Linked DNA regions of Sus scrofa. The protein of the gene in region 1 interacts with the protein of each later gene in a pairwise test. Links are inferred from orthologs where the notes say so. Each region holds a gene or a part of one and is shown in the gene's direction. Other genes may lie near its edges. The genes, in order: PDE6D, RAP1A, HRAS, ARL15 and RND1.

Region 1 (4,180 bases):
GACTATAGCCTGGGAGACAGCCCCTCAGATAGCTTTGAGGAACTGCTCCAAAGAGATATGGGAGGAGCCAGGATACACAGTTTTTTCCCGAAAAAAAAATGAACATTTAGTCGAACACAAAAGAGCACTGCCAATCACAAAAACTAGACATCTCGGATTAATGATTAATGCTTTTCTATGAATGGGAAGAAGCAAGAGTCTGGGCTCATTGAAATTATTCCTTAGATATGCATCTTAACTATGTAGGGCAAGTATCCTGTTTTCCTCCATGTATCCTGAATTCACCTCTGAGCCCATCTTCCGGGGTGGCTTCAGTGGCCAGTGGCTTGATAGTGGGTAACATTCATTGTTTACTGAAATGGCAGGCAACATTTTTTATTCCCACTAACCTCTGGGTGTTTCAACCTGAGTGGGAAAACTTCACCAAGGAGAATATTAAGATAGCATAGCCATGCTGCTAAAAATATCACCACCCTAGTGTAGAGCAAAGAGCCCAGACTACAGTAGACTTAAGAGCCCAATCCTAACTCTGCCCCAACTTGCTGTAACCTGTGAACAATCTTTTTGCCTCTTTGGGCCTCGGTTTCTTCATATGTAAAACAGGGGCTGGATTAGCAAATTCTCCTAAGCCTAACTGTATTGATATTCTGAGTTCACAATCCATATCTCTTCCAGTCCAACGCAGGAGCACAGCAGAGACCTCTACAAAACACGTAAAAGGCGCCCCAGGCCAACGAGCAAGCCTGATTTCAACGAGTCATTTTGTTATATTAGCTTTCATGGTTTAATCAGTGTTTTGGGGTTTGTTGTTTCAGGCTTACCATGATTTGCAGGAGATTTCTGAGTTCCATGTAAATACAAGTTGTCTCTCTGTGGGCTGTCATCTTCTTTTGAGGTTGAAGAGGATCTTCCCAAAGAGTTTCAAGTCTCGGGATTCAGAAACCACCAAGCCTACAGGCAGATGTATGAATTTGCGCACACTGCGCGGCACACTGGAATCTAAGTTACAGAGGACTAGGGTGCAGGGAATGCTGGGATTTGCAGTCCCTGGGCTTTTTGTTGCGTGCTGGGATATGTGGTCCCTCGGACAACCCCCTAGAATGCTGGGAAGTGTAGTCTCCGCCACATCGCACAGGGCAGCCTGCCGTCATCTCAGAGCCCTACTGTCCCCAGCCGCAGGAGCAAGCCCCTGGAGCCTCTGCCGATCTGAAGCCAACCCTCCTCTGAGGCAAACTCTAGGCAACCACACCGAATGAAAAAATCTGTCCTACGGGACTTCCCGGGATGGGCCCTTCCCATTGACGCTCTTCGTCCCCCTGCGAAGCCGCTGAGTGTTTCTATTGGTTGATCAAGATGCCAATCGCCAAGACGGGCTTTCCATTGGCTTCCGGGCGGGCGCTCCGCGGCCAGGGGGAAGGAGAAGGGATCAGGAGTGGGAGCTGAGGGGAGGGAGAGGCGGGTCCGGGTCTGGTCGCAGCCGCTGCTCGCCCGAGGTGTCCAGGCCGGCTCGGTCCTCGGCTCCTGGGCACCATCTGCGAGGCTCCGCCGGGCCAGCGAGGGAGAGCCGCAGGCGGCGGCCGCCGCATCATGTCAGCCAAGGACGAGCGGGCCAAGGAGATCCTGAGGGGCTTCAAACTGTATCCACCCGGGAGCGGGGCGGGGCCGGGAGGACTTGGGAGGCGGCCGCTCGCTGAGGAGACCGGCCGGGGGCGGGGGCCGCACCAGGTGGGCACCCGGGAGGGGGCGGTGGGAAGGGAGGGAAGGAAAGGCGTCCCGGGTCCCCGGCGGGACGGGGCGCAGAAGGCGCGGAGAGGGACGTCCGGAGGGAGGGAGGGAGGGGACGTTGACGGGAGCCCCGGGGTTAGAGGCGAGGAGCCCCGGAATTGAGCTTAGAGAGGCGCAGGGCGTCGGAAACGGGTGTCGGGAAGGCGCGCTTGGGTCCGAGAAGAGAGGCCGGGAAGGAGCTGCGGCCCGCAGGCAAGGGCCGAGGGGGCGCGGTGGGCTGGCCTCGAAGCCCAGCTGCCTCTTTGGCGGGAAGCCCACCCGGGCAGCAGGGAAAAGTGACTTGGAGCGAGTGACCTTGTGTGGGACAAATGCAGAAGCGGGTATCGAACTGTCTCGGGTTCTCCCATCCCATCCCACCCCACCCCACCCCCCGCGGCTTGTTTCCACAACTTCTCTTCCTCACTTGTGGCTCCTTCCAGGGCTGGAGAGGCAGGTGCGGCGGGAGAAGTCTGAGATGGACCTCATCTTAACTCTGTCTCGGCCCTTGGAGGCATTGGGCGGTCGCTGCTTCTCCCTTAGCTCCTCAGTTTTATTTTCCAGCGAAATAAGGGCCCTAAATTTGTGTGTGTGAGATGCGGTGCGATGCCTCGAGGTATTGTGGTTTTGCACTGGGACTCCTGGCAAAGGCTTCTGCTCCGTCCAGTTTGTGTGGTTAACGCGTAGAGCTGGTGGAGCTGTCCAGCAATTATTTGATTACGTTGGGGACACCGTAGGATTTAGTAGGATATAGAAATCATTGCCTCAGGCCTGTTACGGTGCAGCGGGTGCAACCTTCTCACTGTCGTGAGGCTTGGTGTTTTAATGGAGTGTTAATCTGTGACCATATGATGCAGATGAAAAAAAAATGCAATCTTGTCCATTCCAATTTTACATTTTCCTACTGACCTTAATCTCTTCCTATACCTACCATATGGAACATGCTTAAATTCTTCTCTCAGTGAAGATGTAGTTACCATTTAGGGCACCTCCCCTGGAGGTTTAGTCAATCCCTGTTCTCTGAGCTGACTCTGTGTTTTCACAATGCCCATGTCACCCCTGCAAGTTTTAATTGCTTTGTCATAATCAGAAACCAAGTATAAATTTTAAAACACAACAGCAAAAAAGTTACAGGAAGTTTCGGATGTATAAATGAAATTTTTCAAATAGAAGCTGATTTGCCATAGGCGTTATCACCTTTGCATACTGCCGTTCATGATAAACTTCCAGCAGTTTTATACAGTGAAGTTTAGTAACAGCCTCTTATAGGTCCATATACCTTTCCGTGTTCCTCTTCACAGTAGCGCCTATAAGTAGATAGGGGTGGCTGAAGTGTTAGAAAAGCTATGACATGGACTTTATTTTTCCCTTAAGTAATGTATTTTGTTATGTAACATTTATGCTATAGACAGTAAACTAGAGACTATGGAGAATTGAGAGATTTCAGAAGCAATATTTTTGTCTGATTGGAGTTAACATTTTACTCAAAGTAAAAAAGAGTCTTTTTAATGGCTTTTGAACAAAGCAAAGCAAAAGAGAAAGTTTGAGCTTCTCACTTTCAGTCTTTGCTCCGAAACCTTGTTCAGAAAGAAAGAGGCTAAGAGAGGAGTTCTCTGGTGGCCTAGCAGGTTAAGGATCTGTTATTTTCACTGCTGTGGTTCAGGTCAGAACTTGGTGCGGGTTTGATCACTGGCCCTGGAACTTCCACAGGCCATGGGCTTGGGCAGAGAGAGAGAGAGAGAAAGAAAGATAAAGGAAGGAAGAAAGAAAAGAAAATATAAGAAAAGAAAAGGGCTAAGGGACAAATATGGAAAAACATAGAAAGCAGAACCTGTATCATCCGCTAGAAAGGAAGATGAATTAACCAATTAAGTAATGACTTCAGTGTTTTCTGGGAAATTTTTTGACATGGGCTGATTAAATCGCAAGGGAAGCAGCCAATGAAAAATGTTAGCATGGGAGCAATGGATGCTCATCCTCCCTTTGCCTTCACTGGTATCTGAATTAAGAGTGAAATGGAAAGGAGTTCTAGAATTTGTTACTACCTTCAGGAAAAAATAAAATTAGTGTTTTAGTAGGAAACTACCTGACTGTTGTCCATCTTTTCTTGGATAAATTGTCTTTCTGAACTTTCTTTCAAAGTATCTTTTTTTCTGTAGGAAGAGTTTTTACTATAAAAAATCTCCAAATCTCCATTATATTCTTCTACCAACAATGTTGACAGTGCTTGTTTTCCACATTGACTATGTTGTTCTTTTTTATTTTTACTGATTTGATCAATAGATGATAGCTTGTTTTAATTTGTATTTCCCTGATACCTAGATCCCTCAAGAGGTAATATAGGCTAGTGATTAAGGGCTGTACTGGTCTATAGAGCTATTCTGTCTGAATTGAATTCCAGCCCTGCACACTTGGTGTG
Region 2 (3,515 bases), on another chromosome or scaffold:
GTTGAAAAGCTTGCTATCTTCAGGTTAATCTATTTAGCTCAAGCTAAAATAGTGCATTTATATTCCTCTGGCTAATTGTAGTGTGGATGACCTCAGGCCACATTTTTACCCTTGCTTTTAGGCAGTGATGTGCCAGCTGTTCAGGAAATATCTCGCAACTACCTTCTGTCCTTCTTTTCATTTACGGAATGACAAAATATCTAGTCTTATAGAAATTTAAGAGATAAAAGTAGATGATCTGAAAAAGATGGGTGTATAGTGTCTTCCAATGAAAAGAACAAGGGTTTGAAATCAGGAAGGGATACTTTTGAATTTCAGCTGGCAAATCAGAAAAACTTGATTTTCCCCCACAATTAGAAAGGCTGTTTGAAGACTGTTTAAAATTTACAGTCTCTCCTTTGAGGGCATAAGATAAAAATTGCTACAGATTCATAAAGGAGTAATAAGACTTTAAATACTGATAAATTTTCACATTTTAATAAATTAGAATCCATATCCTTATATGTATCTTATTTGTATCTTCATTGTACTTTGAAACTTAATGTAGTAATTATTTTAACAGTGTAATGTCAGCAGCAGCATTGCTGACAGTTTTTAACACAACCACTTCCTTTCCTAAGTATACTCTTAATTATGAATGTATCCTTATATTGAAAAATAATGATACTTTACAATTTGCATTTTTACCAGAGTTTTCACATAATTTCATTTAATCGTTGCGATTTTGCAAGGTTAAGTAACATTTAAGAGGGGCTGATTTTTCTTTTAAGTCCTTAACTTTTGTCTGCTTTTTTTTTTTTTAGACCGTTCAATTTGTTCAGGGAATTTTTGTGGAAAAATATGACCCAACGATAGAAGATTCCTACAGAAAGGTAAAATGTGAAACGTGTATGCTCATGCTTACAAGTAGTTTCTTATGACTTTAAAACTTGATCCCTGGAATTGCTTTTTTAAAAATAGTTCTGAGAAATGACCCAATGTTCTGTATCTGTTTTTAAAAGTTTCACCAAGACGTGGTATTTTTCGTAGAATATTGCTTAGCTAAAGAGAGCTCCACATTCTCTCGCTGATTAATGTAATCAGTCCTTTAATATACCCATTTTCTTGGTGGCCTTTTTTTTTAATATAGAAAAATTGCATATAAATAGTAGGTATATTTTTGATGACTCTTTGTGTGAACTAAAATTAAGATCACTTTATACTTGAGGTTATCCAGTGACTGAAAGTTATTTTTGTTTAATTATATAATAACTTTAAAGATATTTCACCTTTAGACTATAAAAAATTAGACAGTTGGAGTCTGTGTAATAATTTAGTGTAGATACATGGCCTCATACATTTGTCTTAACCTGTAGCATGTACAACATCAAGAGTAAAACTGCAGACTATGGACTTTGCATGATAATGGTGCAAATGCAGGTTCACTGATTTTCACAAATGTACCACTTTGGTGCAGGATGCCGATGGTGGGGGAGGCTAGCGGGGAACAGGAAAATGGTATGTGGGAACTCTACTTTTTCTGCTGTTTTGCTGTGAACCTAAAACTGCTTTCTAAAAAGTAAAGTTTGTTTAAAAGGAAAAGAAATTTAAGTAGTTGGTCTTGACAAAAAAATACTGTTCTATTTAATTAGAAAACTAGCTGGAATTGTGGAGAATTTTCAAGTCTTTATTTCCCAAGTATGGTGGGGGCAGCGGTAGGGAGGGAGACAGTGTTGTAAGAAAGCCTAGTAGCCAACGATACATTAAAGAAAAAAAAAAAAAAAAAGATTAAACCTCCCTTCCAACAAATGAGAAAGAATTGCTTTGTTGGATGTTAAAATTTACCTTAAATAGTGCTATAATTTCTGTTGAATTAAATTCTTCAAGCCTACCGGAATAGCAGTTTCATTATCTGTAAATTGGAAACCAAATGGTGGTACATTGAGAAACCACAGAGTGAATTCATTATTCGTTGAACATACGCATTCACAGAGAGGGCAGATTATTATCACTTTAGTCCCGTAAACAATGGAACAGTGGAGTTTGGGACTCTACCCATCGTGCTCCTCATCAATCCCTGATGTGACACAGAAGCAGAGTTTAAAATAGTCCTTAGGTCAGTATGTCTATTTTTAGAAGACAGTGTTGCATTACTGAAATTTCCCCCAAATCAGTTGCTGGTTAAAGCATTAACTGCAAACAAAGATCTGTACCTTGAATGTCAAAGATTTTACACTTTTCTAAATCCCTTCTTTATTAAAAAATGTCCACACGGTTAATAGTTGATACTTGCTTTAGGCCAACCTTCTCTTCTGTGCAACACTGGGAAAGTAGAACCCAGTATCTAAAAGTTTGCCTTATGCACACAGTTTTTCCAAAGACGTAGAAGTCTTGAGAGCTGTAGGAGTTCAGTGTTATTCTGTGTTCCCTTTTAACTCTTAAATTAATGCTCCTGTGTGTTAAATTTGGGGCATTGTTTAGTAAAACTCTAACAGCTTGAATGTGGTAAGTTGGCAAAGTTTTCTTTACCCTCCCAGTCTTGGCTATATTTTGAACTATTTAGTACTTGTGTGCTTTGTTTTGAAGAGAATATAAATATACATACTTTATCCATTTTTCCCCTGTTAGAATTATACCTGTTGGTTATAGTTTTTCTTAAATTACAGGGTATGACCGTTGCCTTTTAATAACAACACAAATCAGTACTCAGTGTTCATAGTGGTCAGAAAATGCCTAAACTCAGCATCAGCAGTCCTGGCTTTGTAGTATTAATAGAATGTGTTTGAGACCTCCTGTTCTTTATTGTAGCACCAAGTTAGATCTCCACCGATACAGGAAACTGCTAGAGAAAGGCTTTGTAGTTGTTAATAGGTACTTTGAGCAAAGAAGTGGGAGGAAAACAGACTGACATTTTGATGTTACTTTTTCATCCCCCTCCACCCCCGCACCCTACCCCAACAGCAAGTTGAAGTAGACTGCCAACAGTGTATGCTCGAAATCCTGGATACAGCGGGAACGGTAAGCATGTTTTCTCTTTTTGTGATCGATTTTAATTTGTGAATAGGTTTTTGTCGCCTGAACGGTTCCTCTGAGTAAAAGCATTTATTCTGATTAAGAACTTGGTCTCTGTGTAGGACTTCTTAAATTTTCTTATGTGGGTGGCACTATCTATGATGTACTTAATGCTCACATATCAGTGTTAGATGTTGAGCTCATCTGCAGAATCTGTGTGTTGAATTTCTTTTCCCTGTATTGAGGTAAAAATTGTGCTATTACTGCTTTCTAAGAAAAGAAAAAAAAAGGCATTTTAAATTCAGATCACGGTCATTCATTTTTTTAAAAATTGGTTTAGTAGCACTTTTAACATCTCAAGGTTTATTAGCATTTTAACATCTCTGGTGACAGATATGTATTTCTGACCAAAAGTCTTTAGGATTATTTTGAGCCTAATTTTTCACATCCTTAAATGAGTATAATGACGTTAGTACATTATAGGGTGCTTGTAGTGATCAAATGCAATAGTGATTATAAATCAC
Region 3 (4,075 bases), on another chromosome or scaffold:
GGGGTGGGGTGGGCGCGGTCGTGGGGCCAGGGGCGGACCCCCGGGGGCCTGCCATGGTCGAGGCCTCAGCGGGGTGAGCTCCTGGGGAGCAGCGCGGAGCCGGCGCGGGAGGAGTAGGGATGGAAGGGGGTGCCGGCTGAGCCGAGGGAGGTTTGGCCATACGTGTAATGCACCGTTTTTTCTGGTAAACAAGCAGGATGCGTTTATTCGTTACTTTGAAAATTTCTAAAATGCTGAAAACATGTGTTTCTGAGAGCCTCTAAAGGAGGGCCGGTGGGCATGTTTGCGCCTCGGATGAAGGAGACTTCACCTCACCCCCTTCTGGGTTGGATTTGCTGGGTACCTTTTGCTAACTGGGCCTCAGGGTGAGCTTCTGCAGCGCTGGGACCTCCGGGTTTGGGGGAAGCTGCTTGGACAGGGAGTCTGCAAGGTCTGCCCAAATTGGGGGAAGCTGGTGATGAGGGATGGGGAAGAGGGGCCCTTCTCCGAGCGCCAGTCGCTACGTGAGTAGCCCCCCCCAACCCCCGGTAAAAACACTTGGCCAGATTCAATGCTCCGTGGGCTCAGACGCCCCCGTCAGGCCCTAGACGTAAGATTTGAGCTGAGACCAACGACCCCGCCGAAGCTGCCAGGCGTCCCGGGAGCGGTAGGAGCGCCTCCAGGAGCCACCTGCCCCTGCCCCTCCTCCCCGCAGCCGCTCCGATTTTCTACGGCCCCGGCTCCCCGCGTGTCTTCGGTGCTGACCTCGCGGGCTCCATCTTCCCTGAGGCTCGGCCCCCGGGCTGTCCCCTCCGCTCCCCGACCCCCTGCGGTGGGCTGCGCAGCGCAGGGAGAGCCTGGGGCGCGTGGGCGCACCCGTGAGCAACTTCGAGGGCCGAGGGGCCCGGTGCGGGGCTCGAGTTGGGCCCTGAGGACCCTGCCCCAGTCCGCAACGGGCCTCGACCCGCTTCTCCGCGGGATCTCTGTCTCCCTGAGGGCCCTGCTTATTCCTGGGAGAGTCCAGGCCGTCCACGGAGCAGCTTCCTCCCCCGGACCCCACAGCCGGCCCACCAAGACCCACAGGCCGCGGCCCACGCGGGCCACCAGGGCCGACACCGCCCTCCGCGCCGCTCCCGGAAGCCCCGCCCGGCCCGAGGCATCTGACAGGCGGGCCTCCCGGCCAATCGGGGCGGGGCGAAGAGGCTCTAGGGCGGGGCCCGGCAGGCGCAGCCAATGGCGGGCCGCGCCTGGTTGACGGACGGGGGCGAGGCGGGGCGTGCGCGGGCCCGGTCGAGAGTCCGCAGCCAGCTGCCGGAGCCGCACCCGCCGCGGACGGAGCCCATGCACTGGGCGAGCCGCGCGCCCTGGCCCCGGCCCCCGCCGCCGCCCCCGCCCCGGCCCCGGCCCCGGCCCCGGGGGCAGTCGCGCCAGTGAGCGGTGAGTGCGGCGGGGACCACGGGGGGCGGCGGGGGCCGGGCCGGACGGGGGCCCGCGGTTCTCGCTGGGCGCGCGGGCGCGCGGGGGCGCAGGTGAGCCGCGGGCGGCGGCGGGCGGGGCGCTGCGGCTGGGGCTGCAGGCGGCGGCTGGTACGCCCTGCCTCGCCCAGGCCAGCCCCTCCGACTCCAGGTCCCGGGCCCTGTCTTCTGGGGCCCCGCAAGCGCTCTCAGTCTGTTCTCTGACTGCTCCCCGAGCCGAGGCCCGCCCATGACCATGGCCCTGGGCAAAGTCTCTCCCCCTGCAGCGTTCCAAGGATCCCTGCGAAGAACTCGGGCACCCGGCGGCCATCACACACACCAGGCAAACCTAGAGTTTAGGAAGTCACTGCCCTCTGTCCCCGCAGGGTACCTACCCTGTCTAAACATCTCCAGCTGGGGCTGGGGGGCCTTGGCCCCAGGCCCTTTTTTTCCCTTCTCGCTTGTTCCCTTGTGCCACACAAGGTCTTTTCCTGTTGATCAGCTCCTGCTTCCTGGAGCCCTGGCCCCTGCCGGCCTCTTCACCTGCCTTGGTTTATGTTCCCCAAAGTTCTTATGCCGAGAGGGCGCCGCAGGTTTCCCTTTATTTTCACTTATGTGAGTCTGGCTTGGAGCGTGGCCTGAGCTTGTCGGTAGGGGTTCCTCCCGACTGCCTGTCACCCTGTGCCTGGAACAGCACCTGGCATGCAGTAGGCACTCAGTGAATACTTGTCAAATGCACCAGCATGCCCGGAGGGGCCTGGAGCTGGTTGTTGGCTGCCACAGGCCTGTCTGGGCATGCTGCCTGGCCCGCCACTGTGGCAAGACCTGTTCTCATGGGGGGCGCTTGTAACCTCAGCCCGCGGTGCCTCCAGTTCAGGCTTTTTGCCTATCCAGCACCTTCTAATTCGGGTGCGTGCCTGGGAGATGCTCCCTCCTGTCAGCCCTGCCTCTGGGGCCGGCTCCCTGCTTCTCTCCCGCAGTCATTAAGTGCAGCTGGAGGTGCCACAGGTGCGCCGCGGGGCCGCGGTTGTGGCTGCGACCCCTGTTACCTGGATGTACGGGCCCTGGGAGCTCAGCGGGCCTGTCTTGCATGGTCTGGCCACGCTGAATGCTGCTTCCTCCACTGCAGTCCTGTGCTGTGGCCTCCTGAGGAGCGATGACGGAGTATAAGCTGGTGGTGGTGGGCGCTGGAGGTGTGGGGAAGAGTGCCCTGACCATCCAGCTTATCCAGAACCACTTTGTGGATGAGTACGACCCCACCATAGAGGTGAGCCTCCAGCCCGCATCCCGATGTGGGCTTGTCTTCTGCCCGCTCTGCAGGACGGGTTCCCCTCGTCACAGGTCCTGGGCGGGCACGAGAGGAGCGCGGGAGGGGCTGGTGGTGTGAACAGCCCATCCCGGGCGGGCCAGAGGTCCCTAAGTGGTGTCCCCCCCTCAGGACTCCTACCGGAAGCAAGTGGTCATTGACGGGGAGACGTGCCTGCTGGACATCCTGGACACCGCGGGCCAGGAGGAGTACAGTGCCATGCGGGACCAGTACATGCGCACCGGGGAGGGCTTCCTCTGCGTGTTCGCCATCAACAACACCAAATCTTTCGAGGATATCCACCAGTACAGGTGAGCTGCCCGCGGGCCTCGCTTGGGGGCCCAGAGCACGCCGGCACCCTGCCCGCTGGCTCACACCTCCCCTTGCAGGGAGCAGATCAAGCGGGTGAAGGACTCGGACGACGTGCCCATGGTGCTGGTGGGGAACAAGTGTGACCTGGCCGCGCGCACCGTGGAGTCTCGGCAGGCCCAGGACCTCGCTCGCAGCTATGGCATCCCTTACATCGAGACCTCAGCCAAGACCCGACAGGTGAGCCGGAGCCCCGCCCCCAGCCGGCCAGGGCCCCGCCCCGCCCCGCCCGCAGCAGCGCTCACCGCCCCTCTCCCTCGACACAGGGCAGCCGCTCTGGCTCTGGCTCCGGCTCCGGGACCCTCTGGGACCCTCCGGGACCCCCGTGACCCAGCAGCCCCTCCTGCTGTAAGTGTCCCCGGATGGAAGGGGGGAGGTGGAGGTCCCCGGAGAGAGCTGCCCTGAGCCAGGCCGGAGCGGTGACCCTGGGGGCCCCCCCCGGGGGGGGCAGTCCCCTGTCGGCCCTGACCCCTTCGTGGGCTGTGGGGGAGCTGCTGAGGAAGAGGCCTCCTGACCGGTGGCCCTGGGGCCCCTGCTCCCCGAGTGTGGGCCAGGGGCGGGGCGGCGCCGCGGCGGGGCGGCCCTGAGCCCGCGCTCTCGTCCCAGGGGGTGGAGGACGCCTTCTACACGCTGGTGCGCGAGATCCGGCAGCACAAGGTGCGCAAGCTGAGCCCGCCCGACGAGGGCGGCCCCGGCTGCCTGAGCTGCAAGTGCCTGCTCTCCTGACACCGCCGCTGCCCCGTCTGCGGACCTTCTGCGGGGCCTCCATGCAGCTGGGCGCTGGGGCGCAGAGGTGGCGGATGCGGGGAGGAGGCGCACGCGGAGGAAGGAGGAAGGAGGAAGGAAGGAAGTGCCGCCGGCGCCCGGCCAGCCCCGGTCGGCGGCCACAGTGGCCGCAGGCCTCCCAGGACGCTTTGCACGGACTGTCGTGGACTGACGCCACTGGCACCCCAGCTGTCACTCTCCT
Region 4 (4,214 bases), on another chromosome or scaffold:
GATAAATACCAGCATATAAATATGCATAAGTGCTTCAGCCACAGAGAGGAGGGCACTATCTTCAAATTAAGGGTAGTTAAGAAGTGTTTCGACATAATACCCTCTGTGATTTTGAATGTTATCATGTTGAATTGATACATCAACTTGAGAATTACACCTCTAAAACAGTCTTTCCATCCATGAACATCACATGTATTCAAGTTTTAGATTTCTCTCACAATCCTATGGTCGTAAGGATTATGTTTAGGTGCCTTTAGAATTTCTACTTTAAAGGTTATTTTAAAATACATCTCCTGGAGAAAAAGGAACCCTATTGCACTGTTGGTGGGATTGTAAATTGGTGCAACCACTGTGGAAAACAGTGTGGAGATTCCTCAGAAAACTAAACGTAGAACTACCATTTGATCCAGCAATCCCACTCCTGGGCATCTATGCAGAGAAAACCATGACTCGAAAAGACACACATACTCCAGTGTTCATTGCAGCACTCTTTTCAATAGCCAAGACATGGGAACAACCTAAATGTCCATCGACAGAGGAGTGGATCAAGAAGATGTGGCACATATACACAATGGAATATTACTCAGCCATTAAAAGGAACGAGATACTGGCATTTTTTAGCAACATGGATGGACCTAGAAATTATCATGCTAAGTGAGGTGAGCCATACCATGAGACACCAACATCAAATGTTTTCACTGACATGTGAAATCTGAAAAAAGGACAGACTGAACTTCTTTATAGAACAGATGCTGACTCACAGATTTTGAAAAACTTATGGTCTCCAGAGGAGACAGTTTGGGGGGTTTAGGGATGTGGTTGGGTTGTGGGATGGAAATCCTGTGAAACTGGATTGTGATGATCATTGTTAAAAAAATTAAAGATAAAAAAATGAAAAATAAATAAATAAATAAATAAAAGTGTTCTTTCCAAAAATAAAAAAATTAAAAAAATAAAATACATCTCCTAACTTTGTTGCTAAGTAACTAGAAACCCAATTTTATATTGATTTTTAAGGAGTAACACGATTTTTTCATTTTAATAACTGATATGTAGATTTGTGTTTTACACACACGACCACAATCTGCAGATGAGCTGTTTGCTTCTTTCCATTTTTATTGTTTATATTTTTGTCTGATAATGCTGTCCAGGGCCTTTGCTATAACAGCACAGAAGCAGTGATAATTGGCACCCTTATCTTTTTCCTGACTTTAAAGCAAAGGCTTTTAAATGTTGTATCATTGAATACACTTGTGTAAGGTTTTTGTAACTATCCCTCACAATCTGAATATATTGCCAACCTGGAATGTTGTTAAGGGCTGAATTGCCTACTCCCACCCCCAAATACACAGGTTCAAGTGCTAACCCCCGTACCTCAGATAGTGATTGGGTAGGCAGATAGGGCTGTTGAGGAGGTAATTAAGTAAAAATGAGGAGGTCATGGTGGACCCTAAGCCAATTTGACTGGAGCCTTTATAAGGGGAGGAGCTTTAGGCCGCAAAGAGCAGCCCACGTTAGGGGGGTACGCATCGGTGGAGGTGAGGACTCGGAGAAGGCGTGTGTCTGCCGGCTGGGGAGAGAGGCCTCAGAAGAGACCAACTCTGGAATAGCTGTAAGATTGGAACTTTTTGTTCTGGATTGTTTATTAGAACTTGATTGTACACTGTGGCGTGGCGCTTCTGTAGGAAGGTTTTAAAATTGCTATTTCTTTAATGGTAATGTGTCTTTTTCACTTAAAGTTGTGCACATTTGTGGTGTTTTGGGTCTGAAAATTGGGTTATAGAAGCTTTGCTAGAATTACTTGATAATTTCTTCCCACCAGCATTACTGTTTTTCTTTCTTTGTTTTGAAACATCTAAGTGGGTTTTATGTCTCCAGGTTGATATGCTAATTTCCTTTACCCAACTGCTTTTCATTTACCTTTTTGGTGATTTCCTTAGCTTTCTTCTACTCCTACTGAATTTACTCTTTGCTTTTAGGTTCTACCTGGTATCTGTGAGGTCAAACCCTTTCCAGTTTAATCTCAGAAGGAAACTTTCATGCTGGTCTTTGTTCAGGGCACTGGTGGGATGGTGACCTGGCTTTGCAGAGTGGGGCAGATCAATGGGCTCAAGTGAGTCTTTAAGACTCACAGCTGGAGTTCTCTTGTGGCACAGTGGATTAAGGATATGGTGGTGTTACTGCTGTGGCTTGAGACGCTGCTGCAGTGTGGGTTCAAAATGCCACAAGAGTGGCCAAAAATAAAAATTAAAAACAACAACAGCAAAAAATAAGACTCACGCCAGTTTGGTATTTTCAGCCTCAGGTGCTTCTTTTCCCTGAGCTGCTGGGAGCCCTGTAGCGGGAATCGGCTTGCTTCTCTCTGGCTTTCTCCACTCAAGAATTGAGGAGTCAACCTTTTCTCTGTTCTGTCTTGTTAACTGCCACCTCTGTAGCCACTATCTTACAAAATGGTTCATCTCTCATAAGCTCATGTCTCTAATTCTATCTTTGTGGATCTCATTCTTTTACTGCCAAATGGAGGTGAGGGAGTTGTCTTAATACTTCTACAGCAGTCAAAGGGGTGAAGAGTTACTCTGTAAATAGGGAAGGAAATTCTTTATCTTATTAATATGTGGTACTGGGAACTTTATTTCATCTGACTTTTGCTGTGAGATTTCAGGATGTTGATTGTGGGGTCAGGTGGATTTGTTAACTTTTCTCTTCACTCTCAGAGCTGCCCATCTCAGAAGGTACTAAGTATGTTCAAGCAGTGACACAATGACACAACAGGGTTGGTTGTAGTAAATGGCAAAGTCCACATGCTTAGCAACCCACCAGTCTTGAATGGTGTAAGGGCTATATGTAAGGTACCAAGCTAGGCTACCGAAAGAAGTTCACATACCACAAGCAGCTGACAAGGAGAAGCAAAATTCAAGAAAGGACTCATGCAGTTGCCTGGCGTGTAATGAGCTGATAGTTTGCAGCTGTCAGCTCTTTCAGGCTCTGCTTCAACCTTGGGGTTGGTACTTTTCTTGGGATTCTTCCTTCTTGAAGTTGCCCCCTCAACCAATGACGAAACAAGTTGCTGGTACAAAGGTCTAGCTGTTTCTGCCCAGCTTGGTCGTCTCTATTGGGCAATTTTTGCTTGGGAGTTCCCAGTAGAGGCTTTGTTAGGTGTGTATAATGTTCTGTGGTTACTTGCTACCCCCATCTTAATCCCACAGCTATTTTCTTTCACAGGTGCTGTATGTTAATAAACCTTCTGTATTTCTAATTCTTTGTCAGTGTTTGCTTCCCTGAAGGCCCAACTTGTACCAACATGAAACACAGTATCTATAAAGTCTTTGAGGAAGAGAAGATGTTCAGAAAAATAAAACAATAAAAACAATTTAAACAGTAAAAAAGTGTCTATCATTTACAAGAATGATCTGAATTGTCAACTTTGAGACTGTAAAAGATATGATTTGGCTTTTGGGGTCATAGGTGTTATGAAGGCAGGCATGTCAGTTTGTTTACAGAAGGTTTTTAAGTTGTAATTTTTAAAAGAAATGACTAGGTCTTCTTGGGTTATGGGAAGGAAATCCTGTAAAATTGGATTATTATCATTATATAATTACAAATGTGATAAAGTCATTTGAGTAATAAAAAATGACTAGGTCTTTTTAACATTATTAAAGTTCCTAGGGAATTAATATATTACATTTCATTATCTTGAACTATGTTTTAATATGTTCTTGATTAGGGTATACTAAGGACATATTACAATCTGTTTCTTGAAAACAGACTTCTAATCCAATGGCAATTGGTTTTTAAGGTTTGGTTAATTTCCAGTCAGAATTGATCTTTTAATATGAGTTTAAGTGGCTGATCTCAGTCTTGAAAGCATCTTTATTTTTCAAAAAGCATTTTTTCACATGTTGAAATAACTATCAAGAAATAAGGTGGTTGTGTGTGTGTGTGGTTTTCTGTTTGTTTGTTTTCAGGGCTGCACCTGTAGCATATGGAGGTTCCCAGGCTAGGGGTCCAGTCGGAGCTACGGCCACCGGCCTACACCACAGCAACACAGGATCTGAGCCGTGTCTTCGACCTACACCACAGCTCAAGGCAATGTCAGATCCTTAACCCACTGAGGAGGCCAGGGATCGAACCTGCAGCAACCTCATAGTTCGTAGTTGGATTTGTTTCTGCTGTGCCACAACGGGAACTCCACAATGAGCATATGTTATAGTTGA
Region 5 (2,456 bases), on another chromosome or scaffold:
AAACAAAAACCCCAAATAAATTAAATCCCTGGATAATTCCTTATGCACATGGGAGTGTAAGGATCATTTGTTTTATTATTATTATTTAAAAAAATTTTTTTTATTTTTGTCTTTTTAGGGCTGCACCCACAGCATATGGAGGTTCCCAGGCTAGTTGTCTAATCGGAGCTGTAGTTGCTTGCCTACACCACAGCCACAGCAACACCAGATCTGAGCCGTCTCTGTGACCTACATCACAGCTCATGGCCATGCCGGATCCTTGACCCACTAAGCAAGGTCAAGGATTGAACCCGCAACCTCATGGTCCCTAGTCAGATTTGTTTCCACTGCGCCACGATGGGAACTCCAGGATCATTTGTTTTAAAACAATGTTCACATTACAGTTGCCTGGAGAGCTCTTAAAAATACTATTGTCTAGACCTACCCACAGAAATTCCAATTTATTTGGTTTGGCAACAGTGTGGTTTTAAAAGTATTCCCAATGACTCTATCACTTTCAGAAAATAATCAGCAGAGGAGTTCCCTGGTGGCTCAGTGGGTTAAGGATCCAGCGTTGTTACTGCTGTGGCTTGGGTCACTGCTGAGGTTCAGGTTGCTGATGTGGCTCGAGTTTAATCCCTGTCCTGGGAACTTCATATGCTGTGGGTGCTGTGGCCAAAAAATAAGACAGAATTTTAAAAAGAAAAAAGGAAAATAATCAGCAGAGGGGGGTGGTGGGAGACTGGCAGTTGGGCCCATCAGCATAGCTGCGGGGAGGACCGCTAACCTCGGAAGGCAGAAGGTGGTGTTTCAGAGCCGTCTTGGATCCCTGCCCTGATGACCTCACTTCCCCTCCAGGGCTGTGCAATAGCCAAACAGCTGGGTGCGGAAATCTACTTGGAAGGCTCGGCTTTCACCTCCGAGAAGAGCATCCATAGCATCTTCCGGACGGCGTCCATGGTGTGTCTGAACAAGCCCAGCCCCGTGCCCCCGAAGAGCCCTGTCCGAAGCCTCTCCAAGCGGCTGCTCCACCTCCCCAGTCGTTCCGAACTCATCTCTTCCACCTTCAAGAAGGAAAAGGCCAAAAGCTGTTCCATTATGTGAAGTTGGGGGTTCGAGAGGGGAGCCAACCTCCCACTTCCTCCCTGGGGTTGCAGAGGCACGGGGAGAGGGAGGAGGAGACATTTTAGGACACTGGACACGAGTTTTTCAGACGGCCACGGTGAGGGCTTGGAAGGAGACAGGAACGGGACAAGGAAAGAGCCAGGCCCGGCTTGAGGACCTGACACTGAGAAAGAACCATCACACCCCAAGCCAGGCACTAGGTGGTAGAGGGGGCGGCTGTCCCCGTGCCCTCCGCTCCAGAGGAAGGACAGGTGTGGGGGCCTGGGGGGCATGCTGGCCTCATGGCTTCGGTTGGGGGCCTCCGGGAGCCTCACCTTCAGCATCATGCCTCTTCCACACAGCGTTTCCATGCGGGCCAGGGGATGGGAGGGGTGCCTGAGCCCTTCCCTTCCCCTCCAAGGAGGCTGCGGATGAGTGGAGAGCGGGGGGAAGCCAAGAGGCAGCTCCTCTGGGAGCCGAGCCCGGGTGCTTCATAACTGAAATCAGAAGGGCAGGAGCTGGTCAGAGCCAATGCGAAGGAAACCTCATCTTTGCGTAGCCCATGCCTCCTGGAGAGGTGACATCATGCATTCTCATGCTTCTCACCTAAGTCCCCAGGGTCCAAGGGAGAAGCCCCAGACCCCCTTCTCTTGCAGTGTGGGGGTGGTGGTGCTGCAGGGGGCAGGGCTGGGTGGGGGTCACCAGACTTTCTCTGCCCTTGGGGCAGTATAGCTGGCATTTGTTTTATAGACTCTCGTCTTTGGAATTGGGGGGAGGGGGGAGTGTTTCAATCTGTTATATGTTCTGTGTTTAAAGAAGAAAACCTATTTATTAATGAAAAATATAACACATATAAAGAAGCTGGCTCCAGTGTTCTTAGTTTCTTTGTTTCCTTTGGGTGTTTTGTTTTGTTTTGGCCACACCCTTGGCAGGTGGAAACTCCCAGGCTGAGCAAACTGCAGTTGCAGCCCGCACCACGGCTGCAGCAGCGCTGGAGCCTTAACCTGCTGCGCCACAACGGAACCTCCTCCTTTGGTCTTTGATAATGAGGAAAAGCTGTCCTGAGGTCCTTTCTGTGGGTTGCACAGTGGCTGCCAGCCCCGTTCCCTGGCACCTCTAACAAGGATCCCCTCCCCCCGCATCGCCCCGACCCCCACCTCCCACCTCATCTCCTTCCCCGCCCCAGTCCTGCCGAGGCAAATGAGATCTCTTTAGCACTAGAGCAGGATTTCCCAACCTCAGACCAAATGACATCTTGGATTAGATAATGCTTTGTTGTGAGGTTGTCTTGTGCACTCGAGGATGCTTAGCCTTCCTGGCCTCTGCGTGCTGGGTATGAGTAGCACCCCTGAGTTGTCAAAACCAAAAATGTC

The links.
Region 2: the proteins of PDE6D (region 1) and RAP1A interact in a two-hybrid assay, tested with the Homo sapiens proteins (2 studies listed by BioGRID). The link is inferred for Sus scrofa from reciprocal best matches to the Homo sapiens genes PDE6D and RAP1A.
Region 3: the proteins of PDE6D (region 1) and HRAS interact in a two-hybrid assay, tested with the Homo sapiens proteins (2 studies listed by BioGRID). The link is inferred for Sus scrofa from reciprocal best matches to the Homo sapiens genes PDE6D and HRAS.
Region 4: the proteins of PDE6D (region 1) and ARL15 interact in binary tests that used the Homo sapiens proteins (3 or more experiments, as listed by UniProt). The link is inferred for Sus scrofa from reciprocal best matches to the Homo sapiens genes PDE6D and ARL15.
Region 5: the proteins of PDE6D (region 1) and RND1 interact in a two-hybrid assay, tested with the Homo sapiens proteins (2 studies listed by BioGRID). The link is inferred for Sus scrofa from reciprocal best matches to the Homo sapiens genes PDE6D and RND1.

What each region holds. Positions count from the first base shown.
Region 1 is NC_010457.5:132,423,877-132,428,056, reverse strand, and holds the start of PDE6D (retinal rod rhodopsin-sensitive cGMP 3',5'-cyclic phosphodiesterase subunit delta), read left to right. Parts: upstream 1-1,378; 5' UTR 1,379-1,587; coding exon 1,588-1,637; intron 1,638-4,180. UniProt on the Homo sapiens protein: Promotes the release of prenylated target proteins from cellular membranes. Modulates the activity of prenylated or palmitoylated Ras family members by regulating their subcellular location.
Region 2 is NC_010446.5:108,688,453-108,691,967, reverse strand, and holds part of RAP1A (ras-related protein Rap-1A), read left to right. Parts: intron 1-803; coding exon 804-872; intron 873-2,940; coding exon 2,941-2,997; intron 2,998-3,515. UniProt on the Homo sapiens protein: Counteracts the mitogenic function of Ras, at least partly because it can interact with Ras GAPs and RAF in a competitive manner. Together with ITGB1BP1, regulates KRIT1 localization to microtubules and membranes.
Region 3 is NC_010444.4:299,725-303,799, reverse strand, and holds the start of HRAS (GTPase HRas), read left to right. Parts: upstream 1-1,260; 5' UTR 1,261-1,416; intron 1,417-2,562; 5' UTR 2,563-2,589; coding exon 2,590-2,700; intron 2,701-2,871; coding exon 2,872-3,050; intron 3,051-3,128; coding exon 3,129-3,288; intron 3,289-3,374; coding exon of another isoform or gene 3,375-3,437; exon of another isoform or gene 3,438-3,456; intron 3,457-3,714; coding exon 3,715-3,834; 3' UTR 3,835-4,075. UniProt on the Homo sapiens protein: Involved in the activation of Ras protein signal transduction. Ras proteins bind GDP/GTP and possess intrinsic GTPase activity.
Region 4 is NC_010458.4:33,572,749-33,576,962, reverse strand, and holds the start of ARL15 (ADP-ribosylation factor-like protein 15), read left to right. Parts: upstream 1-1,414; 5' UTR 1,415-1,429; coding exon 1,430-1,612; intron 1,613-4,214.
Region 5 is NC_010447.5:14,914,140-14,916,595, reverse strand, and holds the end of RND1 (rho-related GTP-binding protein Rho6), read left to right. Parts: intron 1-837; coding exon 838-1,083; 3' UTR 1,084-1,944; downstream 1,945-2,456. UniProt on the Homo sapiens protein: Lacks intrinsic GTPase activity. Has a low affinity for GDP, and constitutively binds GTP. Controls rearrangements of the actin cytoskeleton. Induces the Rac-dependent neuritic process formation in part by disruption of the cortical actin filaments.